Schizosaccharomyces pombe: one gene and its partner. The protein of the gene in region 2 interacts with the protein of the main gene of each other region in a biochemical or structural test. Each region holds a gene or a part of one and is shown on either strand. Other genes may lie near its edges. The genes, in order: ubi4 and mug105.

What was found.
Region 1: of the proteins of mug105 (region 2) and ubi4, one has a biochemical effect on the other in vitro, tested with the Schizosaccharomyces pombe proteins (one study listed by BioGRID).

The regions. Positions count from the first base shown.
Region 1 is NC_003423.3:1,043,993-1,047,930, forward strand, and holds ubi4 (protein modifier, ubiquitin), read right to left. Parts: upstream 1,601-3,938; 5' UTR 1,575-1,600; coding exon 426-1,574; 3' UTR 279-425; downstream 1-278. Other genes in the region: Erg28 protein, read left to right, coding at 3,543-3,684, 3,796-3,886.
Region 2 is NC_003424.3:2,527,518-2,530,716, reverse strand, and holds mug105 (ubiquitin-fold modifier-specific protease), read right to left. Parts: upstream 1,643-3,199; 5' UTR 1,633-1,642; coding exon 898-1,632; 3' UTR 816-897; downstream 1-815. Other genes in the region: protein meu29, read right to left, coding at 1-579; protein Atg101, read right to left, coding at 2,073-2,563, 2,616-2,679. UniProt on the Schizosaccharomyces pombe protein: Deubiquitinase with endodeubiquitinase activity that preferentially cleaves 'Lys-48'-linked polyubiquitin chains. Shows only weak activity against 'Lys-63' and 'Lys-11'-linked chains. Has a role in meiosis.

The DNA of each region.
Region 1 (3,938 bases), on a different chromosome or scaffold from region 2:
AAAGGAGATATAGAATAATTAAGATATTCCCTTTAGAAAAGCGTCGAAATAAATAAATTAAGTAACGCTTGTTCGGTATAATTAATAAGAAGAATATAGCTTGGCGCTTCGCCCAGCTTTGATTATCTACGTAAGGGACGACAACAGTTTAACGCTGAAATTAGCTACTACTCAACGAAATTTAACCTCTTCCCTAATCAAACGCTATAACACTTTACATCGGTGAAATCAGGTCTCACTATTGCCTATAAATACAAACATGGATCGCACATTAAGAATATACTAAATTAAGTCAATAATATTATACCAACATAAATAAAGCAAAAAGCTATAGTATATTGCTATAATGCATTGTATAGTTATGGATAACTAAATCAGCCAATTGAAAAAACGTTAAAGTTGAACTAGTCAATTACAAAGGATGATTAAAAAAGACCGCCACGAAGACGAAGAACAAGGTGAAGAGTAGACTCCTTTTGAATGTTGTAATCTGAAAGAGTACGTCCATCTTCAAGTTGCTTACCAGCAAAAATAAGACGTTGTTGATCAGGAGGAATGCCTTCCTTATCCTGAATCTTGCTCTTTACGTTATCAATGGTGTCAGAAGACTCAACTTCCAATGTAATGGTTTTACCAGTCAAGGTTTTGACAAAAATTTGCATACCGCCACGAAGACGAAGAACAAGATGTAGAGTAGACTCCTTTTGAATGTTGTAATCTGAAAGAGTACGTCCGTCTTCAAGTTGCTTACCAGCAAAAATAAGACGTTGTTGATCAGGAGGAATGCCTTCCTTATCCTGAATCTTGCTCTTTACGTTATCAATGGTGTCAGAAGACTCAACTTCCAATGTAATGGTTTTACCAGTCAAGGTTTTGACAAAAATTTGCATACCGCCACGAAGACGAAGAACAAGGTGAAGAGTAGACTCCTTTTGAATGTTGTAATCTGAAAGAGTACGTCCGTCTTCAAGTTGCTTACCAGCAAAAATAAGACGTTGTTGATCAGGAGGAATGCCTTCCTTATCCTGAATCTTGCTCTTTACGTTATCAATGGTGTCAGAAGACTCAACTTCCAATGTAATGGTTTTACCAGTCAAGGTTTTGACAAAAATTTGCATACCGCCACGAAGACGAAGAACAAGATGTAGAGTAGACTCCTTTTGAATGTTGTAATCTGAAAGAGTACGTCCATCTTCAAGTTGCTTACCAGCAAAAATAAGACGTTGTTGATCAGGAGGAATGCCTTCCTTATCCTGAATCTTGCTCTTTACGTTATCAATGGTGTCAGAAGACTCAACTTCCAATGTAATGGTTTTACCAGTCAAGGTTTTGACAAAAATTTGCATACCGCCACGAAGACGAAGAACAAGGTGAAGAGTAGACTCCTTTTGAATGTTGTAATCTGAAAGAGTACGTCCATCTTCAAGTTGCTTACCAGCAAAAATAAGACGTTGTTGATCAGGAGGAATGCCTTCCTTATCCTGAATCTTGCTCTTTACATTGTCAATGGTATCGGAAGATTCAACTTCCAATGTAATAGTCTTTCCAGTTAATGTCTTGACGAAAATCTGCATGGTAGAGATTGTGTGTGTACAAATGCAAAGTAATGAAGGGGGGAAGCCACCTTTATATAGACGTCGCCACTGCTCCTCATTTTTCACTCATTCATAAAATCAAAATTTAAATACAATCTCCAATACGATAGTTTTTTCTAAATACATTTATGTATAGAAATTGAAGCATATGCACTCAAATTTTTGTTGTGTTTATAAATATACATTGCATCGATTCGTTCGTATGCCATGTTGTCTACTGTGTACGCAACAAAGATTCCTAGACGATATGATGTCACCTCGGTGTCAAAATTAGTCAGTGACCAAAAAAATACAGGAATCCCCCTTATCGCAATGTGAAATGGTGTCTGCAATTCAAACATATCGATCATTAACGTGGCTTTGCAAAACGACTAGTACGAGAGGAAACGATGCAACAGTACAAAATGAAATAGGATAAATATCTGTTTACGCACAGACACTTTGGGAGACATATTTCTAGTGCATAGGTAGTTGGGTAGCTGTTGATAAATCCATGTCAAATAAGCATATTGTTGTACTTTAAAACGAACGAATAAAAAGTAAACATGTCTTAAAAGATAAGATGCTTGGTACGAATAGGAAAGATAACGACTAACTTCTATCAGCAGAGTTACTGTCCATTTCAGTGTAGATGTGTCGCTACAAAGGAGGAATTAACATTTTTCTAGTCCTAGGCCGTTCAAATAGATATCCACAATTTGAAGAACAATTAAACAACATTATCTTTTCCAATTTCAATATTTGAATGAAATTTGCTCATAAATGTGCTTTCCTTTGTGGTTGAATGAGAAAATAATGACAAGACTATAAAATCATGTGCGATTTAAAAGACGAAAATAAAAAAAAAGTCGACAATACGAACGATTATTAAAAATCGTTTTACATCCTTAAAGTATTGTTTATCATCATTAGAAGCATAATCCGAAAGATACCATGGTCTACGATATATGTGCTCTTTGTAAATTTTGATGTTTATACTTTTTTTTGATGTGGGTCAGGTTTGTGACTGGGAATTTGGAGTAAGCTGCGCTCATGCTTCTTAGCGATAATTAGCATAGTTTAATGCTTTTTTAATGAATAATTTATATAGATGTTAGGTTTTAAAACGCAGATTTCTTATTCATATGGAATTCTACTAATTTCTTATGTAGCACACGGAGTATAATATATTTTGCTAATCAATAAGTTAACCGCCAACCTGAAATATTAGAATACTCATCTACTTTGAGCTGTTCCAGGTTACAATTGTACAAGTAGTATCAACCCATCCCTAGTATTTACATAAGTGTTTCCGTACAAACGGTGGGTTACTTACAATAAGATCATTAAAATAATTAATTCTCCTGATTATGGTTCTAAGGTTACTTGGATTTTTGAAAACTCTACTATCAAGTTATGTAAATTAAAAATAGTAAAGCCGGTACTTAATAAAAGTATACATTCTTGCCATTTTTTGGACAGCAATTCGGCTATGTATATTTGATCCTTGGTAGAATCCTTTCGTGTTTTTACTAAGATATACGAAAATATAAGTAGACGAGGATCTCTTACTACCTTTCTAATTGCTAATGTGCTAAGTCAGCCCCAGTTATCACAATCGTACAATGTCAACAATTCACCGGGACGTTACTTATGCAATAACCTAGTTGTAAGGATATTCTCACCGGTAAATCCCAACCCGAAATCAGCACTGAAAAAGAAATCTCTTTGAAACCTCAGTAAAAAAGCATCTCTTTTTACATTGAAAATAAGCTTACTTTGTTGTTTTATTATACTAAATCTGTCTTAGCATAGCGATATAAAACATAATGTTCGCATCGATTTTACTAATTAAGTTAGTGCAAAACCTGTCAATGTTATAAATTGCTCACAGTCGCTTTTCTCCAATTTAGTACTGTAATCCCTCAACTACACACTACTAGAAATTTAATATCCTAAGAAATAACAATGTCTCAAATACTAGCTATGCTCCCAGATAGTTTAGTTGCCAAATGGAATGTTGTGGTCAGTGTAGCGGCGCTTTTCAATACCGTTCAATCGTTTTTGACTCCAAAGTTGACTAAGCGTGTATATAGCAACACTAACGAAGGTAAGAATCATGGTTTTTACGAGTTTAATTGATTTATAATACACATAATAAGCTCTTTAATGATGCTTTTTTTTATTAGCTGATTATTTTTTGCTGACTTTATATCTGTAGTCAATGGATTACAAGGTCGTACTTTTGGCATCTGGACATTACTAAGTGCCATAGTGCGTTTTTATTGCGCATATCATATAACAAATCCAGAGTATGTTGAATCAAATCAAACATTCAATTTCCAAAATCATCTGATATTGTCT
Region 2 (3,199 bases):
CTGCTCCTCTACAGCAGAAACCGCCAACTCCATAAATTTCTGTTCATTCCATCTTCTGTTATCATGGAAACGAGATCTAGGTGTTCCCAAATAACCAAGCATACGGAAACAGGCAGTTGCCAGATATGAAGCCGCAAGGAGGAGCACAAACGCAGCAGTGAATGGCTTTAATGAAAACAATTTCCAAGGCCTATGTAGTAATACTCCAGAGTAGGTCCATTCCAACTTATAGTTTAAAATGCATGTCTTAGTAATGCTGTCCATGGACAAGGCGACGGTTTTTTTGCACTCAATATTATAATCTATTACTTCTACATGAGAAGACTGATTAGGCCATACACAAGTCCATTTTAATAAATGAGGAGCAACGTTAAGTTGGTTATGCTGACAAATAGCCAAATCATTGCTGTGCGAGCTACACGCTGGTCCTTTGCAATGAAGCCGTGGTCCATCATCAACGTTGGAGGATTCAGAACTAAATTTTAATGCTTGAATTCTGTCCAGAGAATAAGTATATGCATAAGTATTTCCAATAAATAATGCAAAGAATAATAATACAGCAGTCTTGACAACAAACATTGTGCAAGGCTGGTAGTTGTTTACTTTTGGTAACAACTTTAGCCTTTATCCACATTCGGAAGCCAAAGTCGGATATACCGATGTAAACACCGAATTCACCGCAAAACAACAAATTTTAAATTCAATAACAATGTCGCTATATGAAAATATGAGAAACTATCAACAATTTTAAATATACGTATACTACATAGTAGTAAGTCAAAAGAGAATAATCAGATATATTATTATTTTTCAACAGTTTTTCCTTTTTCTATAAATTAATATATGGGGAAACGGCCTTCATAAATATTATGAAAAACATCACCAGCGCTTGGACAGCTAAAAGTCCGAAATTCTGGTAGAACGAACTTCCAGTTTTGAACTGAAATCATTTAAAAAAATGTTTTGCTTAAAATGTACCAATTGAAATTGTGAGAATTTCAAAGATCGCTTTTTTCGCATATAACAGTGATTAAAGTCCGCAATATTCACAAACTTTTTTTGAACACTCTGATAACGATCTGGATCAAGCACAACAAGAGTTTCTAAAGAAGAACAGAACCCAATGATAATGATAGAATGCCCTTGAAATTGTAAATAACATGGAGAAACATTGCTTGTATCATTAGAACTTTCAAAATGTTTTTTAACGTAAAGAAAAAGTGCATTGCTAGCAGAAGCTTCAGATCTGAAATCAAAGTCTACTAAAGCGACGTTGACAAACAACCCGGTAAATAGGCTATAAACCTCAGTAGCACCAATCCATTTACCATGCAAGTTGTCTCCTAATTGAGCATAACCTTCGGCATCTATACCTTTCATCCAAGCGCTGAGCAACAACGATTGCAAAGAATTGATTTCATAATTTCCACTACTAAAATTACGTTTAAACCAATTTGGATTGGTGTATTGAAGCCAGGAAATTAACATCTGTATATTGCGCCAACCACAGCCCCATCCACGATCAATACCGGTAACTGTGAAAAAATAATCGATGTCACCATCTGCTAATGAGCATCCATCTATGCCGAAATGCTGAAGTTGTCGTTTAAGCTGCTGCAAGCATTTTGACATAGTAAATTTCGAAATGTAAAAAGAAATGAGTAAATTTAAAAAATATTCACACGTTAAATCTCGGTAAGCTAAAAGTCGATTAAGAATGCGCCGGTCATTTTGTTAAAACAACTTTGGAAAGTACAAACGCTAATTTCAAAAATTATGGCTGTCAATTAAAGTCATGATATAAATGGCACAGCATCCGTCCTAAATCCAACTTTCTTATAACCCATGCGCGAATGTACTATATTAACGCATGCAAGTTTCATTAGTCCAAAATAATCAATTGCGAAAGGATTACAAGTAGCATGTAAATATACCATCGATACATAATTCTCCAGCAACATGTTAACATATGGAGCTTTGCGTCGCCAAACCGTATAGATGTATGGTGAATGAAGAATTTTAAATGCTGAATGAGAAATCAAGTTTGAAGTACAAACCTGGTGAGATTTGATTTAATCACCTCCACTAACGTTTTCTATAATCATTCGCTTCAGCAGTGAGCCCCAACCTTCTGTTGAAGTAGGAGTTACAATTTCATACGGGTAATTCCCGGAATCCATAGCAACTGGGGGCAGGTATGAAAGGCTTCGAAGGTTAACTGCTTGCACAATTTGCTCAACTGCTGCCTCTAGAGATAAAGAAGATTCTTGATAAGAGTCACCCTCTTCTAAAATGGTAGTGTGCAAGATCCATTGTTCCCAAGGAATTGTATTTCCCTTCCCAAACCAAGACTTTTTAGGCGATCTTTCATACAACAGTAAAATCATCTGACCATTTGCACCAGCCTCATTTCGAATGGTATCAATAAATTCCGCCGCTTTAGTTGCTAGTTGTTCATTTAGTTCTGCACCAACCAGAGTAGGAACCGTAATGTCTAAAACGTCAATTGTCCTAGCAGGAACAGTAGAAAACTGTCTATGAAATAGAATTACACCTAAAACGGCTAAAGGATTAGACTTTGATATGTAATATTTCCAGCAACTAATTTGACTTACCTTTTACAACCTCAGCAGCATACTTATAACCAATTTTCAGTTCAATTGTCACCGTGTTTGTCATTTAATCTCTAAAATTTTGGAAGAGTAAAATTGAGGAATGCAAACTAAGATACTTGCATTGAACTTTGAACTTGGTCAATCAAGTGAAATACATTACGTTCGTGCATATATAGGGTCCTCCAATTTTTTTAGGTAACGTGTTACTCGTTCTGAATCTCAATGTAAATAAACACTTTCTGCATTGTACATTGCAAAGCGTCCACATTTTTTTAAACATCTAATTATCCAATTAGTCTGTGAATTTAAATATTTTTAGTATTTGAAACTAGAAAACGATTAATTGTAAGAATTATATATGACGATAGATAATTGTAAATGTTTATTTTCCTACTAACACATGTGAGTTCAAAATGCAAGAAGGGACTTCCGAAGACCTGGCTCTAAAGAAAATCAACATTTTAACCTGAACTATCAATAGTGATTTTTTTAAATAATTTTTTTTAGTATATTAAAGTAAACACCAGTGTCTTAAGAGTTTTTACAGCATACATCAATTATAAATTTATAACTTAAGCAACATC